Solanum lycopersicum: one gene and its partners. The main gene of each other region encodes a partner of the protein of the gene in region 4 in a complex. Links are inferred from orthologs where the notes say so. Each region holds a gene or a part of one and is shown on either strand. Other genes may lie near its edges.

Evidence for each region.
Region 1: transcription initiation factor TFIID subunit 5 (region 4) and transcription initiation factor TFIID subunit 15b share a complex: the UniProt entries of both Arabidopsis thaliana proteins name them as parts of the TFIID complex. The link is inferred for Solanum lycopersicum from reciprocal best matches to the Arabidopsis thaliana genes TAF5 and TAF15b.
Region 2: transcription initiation factor TFIID subunit 5 (region 4) and transcription initiation factor TFIID subunit 10 share a complex: the UniProt entries of both Arabidopsis thaliana proteins name them as parts of the TFIID complex. The link is inferred for Solanum lycopersicum from reciprocal best matches to the Arabidopsis thaliana genes TAF5 and TAFII15.
Region 3: transcription initiation factor TFIID subunit 5 (region 4) and transcription initiation factor TFIID subunit 11 share a complex: the UniProt entries of both Arabidopsis thaliana proteins name them as parts of the TFIID complex. The link is inferred for Solanum lycopersicum from reciprocal best matches to the Arabidopsis thaliana genes TAF5 and TAF11.

The regions. Positions count from the first base shown.
Region 1 is NC_090805.1:50,539,676-50,541,851, reverse strand, and holds the end of transcription initiation factor TFIID subunit 15b, read right to left. Parts: intron 1,123-2,176; coding exon 1,002-1,122; 3' UTR 569-1,001; downstream 1-568. UniProt on the Arabidopsis thaliana protein: TAFs are components of the transcription factor IID (TFIID) complex that is essential for mediating regulation of RNA polymerase transcription.
Region 2 is NC_090811.1:67,585,579-67,589,739, forward strand, and holds the start of transcription initiation factor TFIID subunit 10, read right to left. Parts: upstream 2,813-4,161; 5' UTR 2,441-2,812; coding exon 2,342-2,440; intron 2,263-2,341; coding exon 2,198-2,262; intron 1,083-2,197; coding exon 1,020-1,082; intron 1-1,019. Other genes in the region: protein GLUTAMINE DUMPER 2, read right to left, coding at 3,833-4,161. UniProt on the Arabidopsis thaliana protein: TAFs are components of the transcription factor IID (TFIID) complex that is essential for mediating regulation of RNA polymerase transcription.
Region 3 is NC_090804.1:5,061,191-5,065,402, forward strand, and holds the start of transcription initiation factor TFIID subunit 11, read right to left. Parts: upstream 2,843-4,212; 5' UTR 2,635-2,842; intron 1,374-2,634; 5' UTR 1,366-1,373; coding exon 1,049-1,365; intron 1-1,048. UniProt on the Arabidopsis thaliana protein: TAFs are components of the transcription factor IID (TFIID) complex that is essential for mediating regulation of RNA polymerase transcription.
Region 4 is NC_090805.1:43,576,797-43,580,931, reverse strand, and holds the start of transcription initiation factor TFIID subunit 5, read right to left. Parts: upstream 2,858-4,135; 5' UTR 2,508-2,857; coding exon 2,317-2,507; intron 1,144-2,316; coding exon 1,062-1,143; intron 1-1,061. UniProt on the Arabidopsis thaliana protein: TAFs are components of the transcription factor IID (TFIID) complex that is essential for mediating regulation of RNA polymerase transcription.

The DNA of each region.
Region 1 (2,176 bases), about 7.0 Mb from region 4:
TGTCTAAATGCTAATTGACTGAATAGTATGAATAATAGAATAAGCCAAGGTCATACAACTAGAATATCCTACTACCCACTAAAAAGTACTCATTTGTTGTACCAAATTTGAAAATGATAAAAACAGACACATGGCTAAAAATGGGGTACAAAAAACCTGCAGAAGTACCAAAATGAAAATTCAAGCTACTTCCAATGTATGCTCCACACAAAGAAAAACTATTGCCACTCGGAATTTTATTTAGAACGACAAAAAAATTGGACACTGGTCCTATTTCCTGTGAATAGATTGAGAACCAACATGCAAGCACTCAGACCAAACAATCAATTTACAGTCTTGTTTTCTCAAATTGTAACTAACACATCATCATTATTTGTATAGCTGTGTGGTCGGATGTCTTTTTTCTGATCCAAACATTAATCCCTACAATTAAATTACCAAGTACTTCACCATTGTACTCCGCCATTCATGCTGAAAAATGTGTTTAGTACAAGAGACTTGTCCTCCATATTCTTCCATGGAAGAGAAACTGAACTAGCAGATACACAATAAAAGAAAACAGTACAAGTAATTAACAGCAACATCATATAGGAAACAAATTCATTATACAAGGGGTCTAGTGCAGAGATGCTAGCATTTCCAAAATGCAAGCAAAATCACTTAAAGAGACCAAACATCATTCAGCTTAAATTACCAGAGTAATCGGTTTTCCACAGTAGTAACACTCACCTGAATATTTCACCTACCTTAGCAGCAATTTGCAGAATATCCAATCGCCTCTATCAAAACATTCAACATATCAAAAAAGGTTCTGAACTAGAAAACCCCACCCCTTACGCAACCCCAAGTAGCAGAAAGAAAGAAGAGAAGGTGGATATTGCTCAAATGGAAGTGAGTTAACAGCCTACCTCTTTTAAGTCACAGAGAGTATATCTTGAAATGGAACTAACTAAAAAACCCTCCCACCACAAATTTTAGTACATAAAATGCTCGACTGGAACTCAATAAGGACGTGAACGATTTCCACCATGAAACTGTCTATCTGGGCCGGAACCTCCACCGTCTCTGTAGTTATCCCTGCGCCCGCCACCACCACCACCATAACCTCCGCGACCGCCACGGCTGTCAAAGTATAGACAGACATGAGCATAAGAGATATATTTACTATACAGGTTAGCACAGGGAGTCGTAAGTTCAGCATACACAAAAGGTCCCCCATCCCATTTATAAATTTAACCCAACAAATAACAACATAACCAGTGCAATCCCACAAGAGGGTCTAGGAGGGTAGTAGACTACGCAGACCTTACCCTATCTCGTAGAAATAGAGGGGTGGTTTCCGATATACCCTCAGCTTAAATAAAGCCAGCCAAATATATCATTAACCCGATGGAACTATATAATATAAAAGAAACAACATATTCTTCATTCAATCCAATAGATTAAACATTTTCTAAACCTTGAGCCAATAAAATATATAAACAGTTCTAAATGGCAATAGAAAGAACATAGGGCAGGAAGAATGCATAGGGTGTCAATCAGCAAGTGGATTTTCAAGTAGCAAAAATGGACATCGATTAAAAACACAATTACAACATACAACATGCAAAAAAAATTACAAAAACACTAATTCTTGAAAGCACTATTGAAATATGTAACTTTACAGTTTTACATTGAAATATACATAGATGATGCTGATGAATATATTTTTGCAGGATAAAGAAAAAATGTTTACTAATGAAGCCACACAATTATGATTAACCGGGTTCCCATGCACCTCATAAAGGACAAATGTAGTACCAAGTTATAGAGATGAAATTTGATTGCTTAATTCGCTTTTCTCTGGGAACAAATCAATGTATCAATGATGTTAACAATTTACTGAAAATAATTATTGAAATTAAACTTCAATACAGACACCCTATGCGATCAAGTATGAATTTTAGGCATGCAACTTTAGTATGAAATTTGGCACAGCAATTAGAGTCAACATCAGATGCAAGAACAACTCTGATCATCTACTTGATAAACAACCAAAACTCTGGAGAATTCATAAAAATAACCATACATCCACTATCTAGTTAAACACACTTGCTAACTCTGCATACATTCCACAGCATAACCACTAAGACATGTTGTGAGTTGACATAAACTGTGAATTGTAGCACAACTGGAG
Region 2 (4,161 bases), on a different chromosome or scaffold from region 4:
GGTCTACCCACAAGTCATCAACTTTCCTTCCTTCAACCACTGCCATCTTGTTGTCTCAACCATATTTCTAGTCTCTACACAGAATACCAATGGAGATACCCCTTGCTCCTGATATATCCTAACTTTCATCGACCTGCCTGCTTTCAACCACTGGCATTATGTTGTTTCTCTATTGGAATGGCCCGTTTCATAAATATCCATTTCTTTCTAAACATGAAGGATACATAAGAGACCATTCATAAACTCTTATTCTTTCTTCCGATGATAAAGCCATAATCTATCCTCAAAAGACTCACAGCATTTCATGAGTTTTACTTTCATTACGACTAGTGAAGGCAAAATAGTGAGTAAAGTGAGGCATTCACAAAATCTTGAGTCGATAACGAAACAAAACACAACTGATTTGTCACAGTTGAGAAGATCTACCACAATCCAGTAGAAGCATTAGGAAAATAACAATCCATTGGAAACATTAAGAAAGGAAGTTCAGAGAAAGTTGGATGCTTTGTTATTTGTAATCATATATTCTGAAACAAGGTCTTTCTACATGTCTACTCAAGTCATATCTTAGTTTCTTTATATTGTATTTTTCTGTTTCTTTGTCTCTTTTCTAAGGTTTTGGAGTGTCACAGACACAATAATCTCCTGAGGTAGTAGTATTATTGCGCTAACAATAGAGAATTTCAGGTGTTGTATTTTTGGTAGTGTAGTCAAGTTAGGGTCGGCAGTCTTTAAAAATATAACAGGCTTGGATTCTAAAATTACCAACTTAATGTTTCTAATTCATTAGAGACGAACCAAAAAGAGTTTTTTTAAGGTTTGGGGGAGGAGAACAACTTGAACACTTAAAAGTTGGAAGGATCATACAATGACAAACACCTAGACAGGCAACAATTGCATTGAAGCCTCAAGAGTAGGGGACAATCGATGAGCAATATGCCGAAGAATTAGCAGCATACTTAACATAAGATGGAGGAGGAAACAGAATTCAAGAAAAATAAAATAATTAAGAAACATACTGGAGAGCATCAGTAGCCACATCTGCAATAAACTTCTGAGTAGCAACTGCCACCAACCTTATTCTGCATATCCAAAGGAAAAACTCAATACAACAACACAGTATTAAAAACTGATAACATAAGATAAACCAGCCATCACTGTCAAACAAAACATCAAATGCTACAATATTAAAATTTACAACTTGTAAAAAGGTAAATACCAATCCAATTCACAGATATATAAATTTTACTTGAATTTACTGCTAAACCAGATAAATAGAAAACGATCAAAACAAAAACGGAACTAGAGAATACTGCCGCTTAGTCACTGTTTGATTGCTACGAGTATAAAGATATTCAGCTAATTGCTCATCTAATTTTCATAAAAATGGGTATTGCCTTGCGGCTCCACCAACAACCCACCAAGATGTTATATTATTGTTTACTGATGCAGGTTTACAGGTGGATACTGGACTGGCAAATATTGGTGTTGCAGCTCTGGAAAGCCTTGGAAAACTGATTCATGCCCATGTTTCCCCAATCCAGTTTGCGGGAAAAGCTATGACTGTTGAAGCACTTGCTTTAAGAGTGGCTCTTGAACGTACAATCAGGAACAATTGGAAGGATGTGAGAATCCTATTGGAAGCAAAGAGTGTTATTGATTATGATTCAGGAAAAAGTTAACTACCTCATGGGAGATAGAGGTGACTTGTGAAGACATTTGGAAGCTAAGAGCTTGCTTGATCATGTAGACTTTGTTCATATTCCGAGAAGTCTAAACAAAACTAGCACATAATTCAGCTAAGTTTTCTATTACTTCGTTGAAGGAAATATCTTGGGAGGACATCCTCCCAAGCTGGATTTTACATCATTATATGGGCACCTTTGCCCAATTTATTTGTTTGCTGCAGTAACATAATATCTCCCTTTGAACCCCCAGGGCTTAGCTCACTTGGCAAAAGTGTAGAGCTTTCGCTACGCCAAGCAAAATAAACGTAGGTTGAGGAGCGCGTTCATCGTATTCGAGTTTAAAGACTACGGTTAGCTCAAGACAGAGGATAAACCTAGTGAAAATAGTTCTAGATAAACACACGAAAATCATATCTTCCTTATGAGCAATCCAAACAATTTTTCTATAACTAATCTAAGCAGGCTAAATTGCAGAAACATCAACATAAGAATGGGAAGAAAATACATACAATCGAACATCAGGACATTGAAATCCACTTTTACCCAAGTAATGCTCCACCAATTCATCAGGAATCTGATCAAAAGCGTTAACCTACATAAATAAAACATAAAATTGATCTCTTCAGTAAGAAAAAGGGCAAAAAGTAGCTCACAGTGGGAGTATAGTCCATCAAGGAAGCAAGGAAATCGGCTAGAACAGCATCATCCTCGTGTCTTCCTTCACTTGTTTGTTGACCTTGACTTTGGTTCATCTTCACCGTCGAAACAGAGTCAACGGAGGATCGGCGGTGGTCGGAGTTTCAATTTCGCCGGAGGAAAATTGGGGAAGATTTGTGCCTTTTTACTTTGAGAAAAAAATCGGAAGAAGAAACTGAAGAAAAATATTCTAGTAATAGGTAAGTAAAATTACTATGGTTACGATAATTTAAAATATTTAAAAATATATATAAAAATTATTTTTAAACTCACATATTGAAAAAGTAATATTATTTTCCTTCTAGGATATAGAAATATTATAATTTTGATTATTTTTTAAAATTCAAAATTGTTTCTCCACAATTGTGCAAAAAAGAAAAAAAATGAGAAAAGGCCTAAGATAGAGGAGAATTGTATTTTTGTTATGTGAAATTCGTTCGCGAAGAGGGGCATATATATTTACCTAGCTAACGATAATATTTCGTAAAAAAAAAAATTATATTTTATTTTATTTTTTAAATTTGATAGTTCATAACATTTAAAAAAATTATAAAATAAAAATATAATTAAATTATTTTATTCTCTATCAAACCAAACGCAATTAAAATTTACATTGAAGTATATATATATATATATATACACACACTCATAATCACTTATGTTAGCCATTTTATTCTTCTCTATCATAGAAGATTAAAATGAATTATATTATTATTGAGTAAACAATTTGGATATTATTTGATAACTAATTTAATTACAATACAATTGAGTAACTTAATTGGTACTTGAATGATTTGGTAAGCACGATTATAAATCATGTTTCACAAATATGACTAATATCACATTTGATTTGCATCATTTGAAAGTTATATTAGATAAATATAATTTATAAATTACATATTAATAGTAACTCAATTTATAGATTAACTATATATCATATTCGATAGATACGACCTATAAATTGCATGAATAAGCATGATTTTTAAATCATATTTAATTACTATAAATTATCAAATATAATTAGTAAATCACAATAGATATAAAATCGCAAACGTCACATATGCACATACATTCGAGATTCTTCAAATAATTCATTTTCTAAATCGATATATAATTGATTCTACTCTTTTCATTCATTATATTAAAAATATATCATCAATTTTACTTTTTTCATTGAAAAATTTAAAAACGATCTATTTATTTTTTAGCAAAATGACTCTTATGATTATCGTTAGCTAATAAAACACGTATCAAATCGAAGTAACAATTTCCGTGAAAACATATTACTCGAAAACGAAAATTTTTTCTAACTCTTTGTTATCTCAACCAAAATTGAGTACAATTTCCCGAATCTCAAAATTGAAAAATTAAACCAAAAATGGAAGAACTCAAAAAAAAAAATAGAGAAAATTGCTCTGTTTTTTTTTTTTCAAAGCTCAGTAGCTTCATCAATGGCCGATTTGAGATTCTTCATGAGCTTGATCCATAGCTTCATCTTTCGCCTTCTCATCATCAAATTCTTCAGTTTCCTTTTCCAATTTCTTCTCAATTTTATCACCAGCACCAAACGAATTACCTCTACTCGAAATAGGCGTAGCCAAAAAAGTTGGATTCAAATCTCCAGCCATTATCACAACTATTTTCTCCTCAAAAACCGGCGACGCCTTGAAAACATCACCGGTCGATTTCTCGCCGTCGCCGGATTCTACATCGCCGTTTTCTCTCGGATAGCCGGATCGTCTCCAGTAAGAACAAGCTAGGATTACTAAAGCAAAAG
Region 3 (4,212 bases), on a different chromosome or scaffold from region 4:
CATAGAACCTCTATTAATACCAGGTAGAGCGCTGCTGATTATAGGATAGAAAAATATTCTAAACTGAGCTCACGTAAAAACGAGGTGCAGACCCTAGATAGGAAGGCCTGGAGGTCGAGCATTAGAGTAGAAATTTAGTAGGTAGCCGCGTGTGGTCGCCCGTTTGGTGGGAGAGGCAATGCCATATCCTCTTCTCCTTATTAGTAGTAGTATTTAGTAACTCGCATAGTTTCTTATTTTTCTATGTGTTTCTACTATTTGTTGCTTCATTTTGCTATGTGTCCTGATATTTTGTTTTCATGTTTTCTTATTGCAACCCTTCAATGAATAGCTTCCCTTTTAAGCCAGGGATGTATCCAAACAACCTCTCTATCCCACAAAGGTAGGGGTAGGGTCTCCGTGCATCTTACCCTCCCAGAACCCACTTATGGGATTATACTAGGTATATTGTTGTTTAACAAGGAGGTGCAGAAGAAAAACTTTAGCATAACAAGTATATATATAACTGCAATGTACAATTCCCATTTTATTGGCCTTGACCACAATATGGTTTCTTCCATACTAAATTAGTTATTCTCCATATTGCCCTTACTTAACAATGCTGATACAAAATGTCAATTTATTATTTAACAGCTACTATATTTCCTACTGGTGTTTATCTGCAGTAAATCAAGCATATCAAGCTAGATGAGATCTGTTCACAGATCTCAATAGAAGCATTGACCTGCTGGTTATATATACATACTTTTTGTTAAAAAAAAAATGATACAGCAGATATACTGAGGGAATACAGCATACAAAAGAGAGTTAAATTAATAGTCTGAGTAACAAATCAACAAGGAAAGAAAGGAAGGTGAGAGGAAGGGATAGAAATCATCAGAAAAGGAGTTATTCTTTTATGCAAATTGATCAGTAGGCAGGTCCAACCACCCACATAAGCTATCACAGAACAGGATAATAGCATACAATCTTGACAATCTTCTGTGAATGGAATCCTTGTAAACAGAAAGAGTTCGAGATATTTGAAAACATAAACTGACAAACTTACTGCATCTTCGCCAGTTTGTCAGGATCACTACTTGATGAGAGTTTTCCTAACTGCACATCCATGCTTTCTTCCTCTTCCTCCTCATCTTCCTCTTTGGGTTTGCTAATTGGACCAGCAGTACTAACAGAGACTGATGTAGCTTTAGATGTTGAAGGTTTTTCACGAGAATCGGTATTAACATCGTCACCTTCATTCATATTAACACCAACTGCACCTTGATCTTGGCCTTCATTCTCATCGGTTCCAGCAGGGGATTCAGGGGGTGAGTCATCCTGCTCCTCAAAAGTAGCCTCAAAAGGATCCTTAGATCGCTTCATAGAATTCGCTGCACCAGAATGTTTAGATTCAAGTAAATTATTCACCATGCTAATCATTCATCCATTTTGATTGAGATATACCAACTTCCAACACAATAATGTGATATGTTCAAGACAATTTTTTAGGGAGGCATGGTAAATTATAACTAGATTGATTTGGACCTCACAAAATGGCCACACTCTCCAACCAGGTCGATTGATAAATTAATGGAGTTGAACTGATGCAGCTCAGATATTCTCAAATCAAATGATCATTGCAAGGATGAAAAAGATTAAAGCATTCGGAAGGAAGGAAAGTAAAGATAAGGATGAAGCAACAATGTCAAAGAAACATTGTTGAAGTTTGAACTAGAAGCTACACCATCCTTCAATATGTCTAGATTAAGATAAAAATGAAATATAGAAGACAAATACTGTACTATTTCATGTTATCAGTTTCAACAAAAAAACAATGTACTATTTCAAGTGAGACCAAAAGGTTAAGTAGTTGTCTACTTGCGCTGGTACATTTTTTGTTATATAACTGCAGTTATTGCCCTGTTAAATTTTCATCAACGAAGCAATGATAAGATATCCTCTCTTCTTTTTCATAACCGATAGGATCCTGCAGTCTGTTGTGGTGTATAATGGGCTCATTCCTTTACCCTTCCCACTTAAATACCAGGCTTTTCCAACAAAAGGGTTTGAACACGTAACTTACGCCTAACCACCACATCACTCAATAACCAAAGCCCTGGTGGGTATACAAAGACATCCTCCCGGTACATCCTAAGTCACAAAACTAAGACTATAAGGAGTCGTTTGGTATGATGGATAAGGAATAACAATTCCGAGACAAAATGCAGGACTATTTTATCCTGCATCTGGTTAGGGAAATTAGTTAGTCCCGAGATTGTTTATCCCATCATATATATGGTAGGATAACTTTGTCTATCCCATTCCCTGTACCAAACAACCCTTAAAGATTCAAGCTTTGCATGTGATTTAACCTAAAAACATTTCCAAAACTAAAGTGTGAACAGCTATAGCATGAAACAGGCCTCCCCTAATGGAATGGATCGGTTCTGCCAACGAAATAAACACGGAACAAATCTAAGGTATGTGAACAGCTGTAGCATGAAATAGGTCATAAACGGAAAGATTTCCAGCTGATTTCAAACAATTGAACTGCACGAAAGCTAGCCCGGACACCACGATTATCCAAAAAAATTGTTCATTGCAATATTAGGCAAAATCATAATTGATCAATCCAAATAGAAAGAAAAATACCTGGCGAGCCAAATTCTGTGATACTGATCTCTCACCAAAGATAATTCCGGCGAGCGTGCCGGCGGCCGGTCTGAAGAAATTTGACGGGTCGATTTCGCTGATGTGGTTGTGGGTTTAAATTGGATTAGCTCATGGGTCGGGTCGGGTCGGATTTGATTGGATTCATGAATTAGGGCAGTTCAAGCGGACGGAAACAGATAATCCCAATAAAAAAAGGTTATTGCCTCTGATAATAAATTATTGATTTAGCGGTTTTAATAACGATTTTGATTTTTTTTAATTAGTGAGATATTAGTTTTAATGATTTGAAATTATTTTTTTTAATGGATTAACTAATAACTTGATTGTAAATTAAAGAATTATATTTATACAATTTAGTAGATAATGTCCTTGATTTACTATATAAATTTATCTTTTTTATTTTTGAGTGTCTCAAATTCTCGATTATTCAACAGTGATGTGATATGTGAACTTACATGTCCACTCATTTTGTTCGTCACAGTATTTTTAAGTGATTATTTTAAATCAAATCTTAACGGTTAAACAAATTACCAAATCAATAACAGTTGATAATTAATAAATCGATAACTGATAAGTTAATATTTTAATAGTTCTAAAATAATTTAGCACATCTCTAAATCAATAACCAATAAACCTCAAATCAAACGAAATCGATACGCAACCCTTCATTTACCTTCTTGCAATTGTGGCCAAACAAATCACAGATGGTTTTTTAGTAATGGGCCTAGGATTTTAACCAAATTATTTTCATTTTGGCCCATATACAAGGGAGAGCAAATTAAATGAATATCACATACTTTAAAAACATTTTTAGTTTTGTTCTTTTATGGTTAGTAATTAGAATTTTAATATTTCTTTGACTAAGTACAAAGAATTTTGTTGACCAATTAATCAAATCAAGAAATTTATAAAAGAAAATCACTAAAAGTCTAAAACAAGACTATTGTAATAAATTTTTTTCTTTTGAAAGTTTTCAATGCTAAATGCTATATAAGGTTGTGTACGATAAAAACTAAGAAACACTCTAAAATTCTTAAAGGTTTTATTATTTTACAAAAAGATGGACAAAACTTCGATTATGGCACTTTTTGTTGTTGCTTTCTTGATTGCTTCTTGTGGTTAGTCTATTTTGTTTTCCTCTTATCATTTTTCCTTCAGATCAGTTGATTTTGTAGTTCTTTACTTTGTCAATACGTATTATAAAATGTTAACAATTGTTTTATAACTTTTTAGATGTGGCGACAGGCATGAGAAAATGTAGCACAACAGATGATTGTAACAATCATGAAAATATGTTTCCAAAATGTATTTGTGTTGATGGAACATGTGTATGCAGCTCACTCAACGCACATTCTATTGATCATGAAGATAGTGGTTCAAGTGGCAAGTATTAACCTTGAAAAAATTATATTAAAAATGTCTCATTTGATATTGCTTACATGATGAAACATTTGCAATAAAATATTTAGTTGGTTGCATCATGATATGAATTTTTTTTTGTTTCTTTTACTATTTTAGATCTTGAGTTATTTTCTCCGTTTAATTTATTTATCGTGA
Region 4 (4,135 bases):
ACTTGAATGGGTAGACTTCATCGGAATGGTCAAAATAACTATCCAACCAAAAACACCAAAAAGTCCTGTCCTATCTTGAAAATTGCAACACCAAAAATTGAACCATATACCACACAATAGATATTAAAAGATGGCAAAATTGCACTTCAAAAGCTGCACCATCCTCCAAAAATAAACCAAAATTAGCAAGCTGGCAAACGTTGAAACTATAGATGTTACTCCCTTGGTCCAACAATAGTTGTCTACTATTGACTTAGCACACCCTTAAGAAACAATAAATAATAGCGGTAACATTACTATTTTATCCTTTGACTTTATTAAATTTAATGCTCTGGAAAATGTGTTAGATGATAAATAGTATTTAATAACAAAGGACACAAAAGGTAAATTATCTCTTGATTTTCTAAACTGGACCCTTGCTTTTGCTAGCAAGGGGTTTCGAACTTGAAACCTCCAAAATGGAAGCCCCAAGCCCAAACCACTGCCCCCCCCCCCAAAGGGTGTTTTCGCTTTTGGTGAACTTAAAGGACCAAAATTGTTCAAGAGTATTAAGGGACCAACTTGAACCTACCAAACATATGGAACCATTTTCATCACTTTTTCATCTGGCTTGTATAATCACACAACCTAACTTGTATGAAGACGGCACGCTTGTCATGCTTATGTTATGAAGAGCTATTTTTGGCTCGCTATTATGATCGCAATGGTAGAAGACAGTACTAAATCCATCACTGGTGCTACATTTATAGCATAAGTCAATGAACTAGAGTTGAGAATCACAAATATGAGAACTCAATTTTGAAGACCTTGTCACTGCCAGAAAGACAGCAGCAGAAGTATTAATAGGTCAAGGTGCACATCACTAATACATTATGTTAAGGATTAAAAAGGGCTAAATAAAAGAGAAAATGAAAGCCTTTCCTTTCCATTTATGTTTATTTCCTATGGTGTTACTGGTGGCAGACCTATTATTAGTGCATTACATGTCATGAGGAGCTATGCATCATGATACTGCATAAACTACTTCTCATGTTACTGTTAGCACAAGTCAGGGGACCAACCTTATACAGATCCAGTGAACTATAGGCCCATGACCGAAGTTTGCTATATTCTTCTTGGTATCGTTGGGGACTGGTTTCAAATCTGAAAACATAAAAATTTAGATTCAGAATGATATCAAAGATGCATGCTAAGAAAATAACCAGAAAGTATGCGTTATACAGCTGTCAAGACTTCCAGCTAGTGTAAGGCGGTGTGAAAACGGAGCCATAACATCTATCCATCTATATCTGTAATATTCTAAAAGTAGGAAGCTCCAAAGTGTAATGTCACTAATAGAATGTAAAATAACACCAAAGCTTCCTCCATACCAAACACACAATTATTGTTGCTTCCCTTCTTGAAACAACTAATGAAGCCTCAATCCTAAACAGTTTGAGACTTTGGGTCAGCTCATAAATCCTCCTCTACATCCCCTCTATTTATTTATTTATTTTGAAATAGGTAACTTAAATCCGCACAAAAGAACTCATCAGACTGATGAGGAGGAATTTACAAACCCCAGGGGATGCCATCATACTCAAAATCCAAAAACAAACTTTCAAAAATTTACAGTTGGCCTATAATCTCCACTAAGCTATCTATTGTCCCCACTAAATCTTGCTTACACCAAAAAAATATAATACTAAGAGATCTCATCTTGATCTTCTGTGTGCTGCTACCCTTCCCTTCATAATATCTCTCATTCCTTTTTTTTTCATAACGTCCACCAGATACAAACAGGGATATTCTTCCGCCAAATTTCCTTTGATCCTCTCTTTCCAATTCCTAGACAGTGTGCTAGTACCTCAAAAGTGGTTCTGGGCATTGTCAATGCTATTTAGAACCGCAACCTCATGGCTAAGCACTCTGCATTTAAAATACAGGAGAAGAGGACAATTGATTCAAAAAGAACCTATTTCACCAAGTAGTGCTGATTTCTCCCTCTTTAGAATGGGTCCAGTAATTAAATTTATGTTATCTACAGAGAACAGATTATTTTTGTCTGACGGTTCAGGGTCAATTTGGGCATTTGCAGAAATGCTACTGGAGGGTGCAGAAAAACTGCTTCAATTATATTGCTCCTGCTTTTCTTCCAACAACCAAGTCACCTCTCAACCCTAAACTAGTTTTCAGATCTTCTGTACTCAATCCTTCTCTACTTAAACGTGTTTCATTGAAATTAAACTATCTTTCAAGGTAAATTGATTTTAGAACTTAATCCTCTTAGCCAAACAGTAATTTTTACATCAAATTAAGTGGAAAAAAGAAACTTACTCAGAGAAAGAAAGGATTTTTTTGGTTAAGTCGGGGTCAATCTGAGAATTTGCTGAGTTGTTGTTATTATGGATTGAAGAAGAACTGTTTTTATTCACTTGCTGTTCTTCTTGAAAAGCAATCTCCGTTTGCTTGAAACCCTTCTTCTTCAAATACGCTACGACTGCTTTCTCAATCTCTTCTTCATCCATGGCGAGAAATGGTAAGATTTTGAGAATTGGGAAGAAGAAGAAGAAAACACCTGGGGTTTATAGGACCGAGAATTTTGATTTGGGGTTTCTGGAGGGACTTAATACGACGTCGTCGTCACTTTGTTTATGGAAGGTGTTTTGTTTTATATTTTTTTGGTTAGGCTCCAATTTCTCTCTTAATCACAAGATTTGCCCTTTAAATGGACCCATATGCTTAGTGAAGAATAAGTTTTTTAAGGACATAATATATTATTTTGTGAGAAATTTATTTATCTTCGGAAGCAAAAATCAAAGATTATCACAACAAACTAGAGTCAAAAGATGCAAACTTTTTTATGCTAATGTGAACCGGTGAGACAATAGTATATAATCATGTATATTTGAAATACTACTAAGAATTAATATTTAAAAAATGTATTAATATGGCAGATCTAAGGTGGGGTGTCACAGTATATGTTATTTGCAGATAATATAATTTTGATTGGTGAGACTAGCGACGGAGTTAACGTTCACATAGAGATTTATAAATAGACTTTACAGTGAATGATTCGGGCTGAGGACATGACTAAAATTGGATACTCAAAGTACAAATTTAACAATGTGGTGCATGAGGCTGATGTGGAGAAGTGAGACTTGATATACTAGTCATCCAAAAGAGAGATAGTTTCAAGTATTTTGGATGTATTATCTAAAAACGGAAAGATTGACAAGTAACACCCAACGTATTGATATGAGATTGAGAAAGTGGAAGTTTTATTTTCAGAGTCTTATGTGATAAGAAGGCGTCACCTAGCCTTAAATGTAAATTTCATCAAGTGATGGTAACATGAACTGTGCTTATAGGGTGGATTGTTGGCTAATCAGAAACTCCTCACATTCAAAAAAAAAAAAATGATTAATCTTTTAAATTCTATTGACCAAAAAAGAATGTCAATTATTATTCCATTCTCTTTCTTTTGTATTTGCATTCAACGCCACGTCGTATATAAATCATTTACTTATTTGATCTTTTTATCTGTTTTATTTTAACTATAATCAAATATAATAAAATAAATATTTATTACAAATACTTGTAGTCTAAGAAAACATTTAGAGAGAGAGAAAAAAGAGCAATAATCAAATTAACAAAAATTACTATGATAATAATGTTATATATTGTTACATTTTAAATGGCAGAAAAACTATCGAATGTATTTAAAAGGAGTAAATCTTGCGGCAATCAAAGAACCACCATTTCCGTAGAAAAAGATTGGTGGAAAAAGAAAAGAGATAAACCTTTGATTTGTCCTGCATGATAGATTTAATTTGATCTTTTCGGCGGCTGCGACATGCTTCTTCTCTCCAAATTTTCAACTGAAATAGAAACACAAGAAATTGTTCAAAAGGGGTAGACCTGAATCGAAACCTGAATGAAGGATGATGATAACAAATGCAAGAAGGCAACCTGAATCAAAACCTAAATGAAAAAAATGTTGATGTAGACGAAACAGCTGTATTTTTTTGGTAAAGTTTGACTATAAAAGGTAAAATGGTAATTAATTTAGAAGTTTAAATATCATAAATTCTTACTTAAATCAAATAAGGACTTTATTTAATTCAAAAGTCTTAAATATGATGATGATAATTAA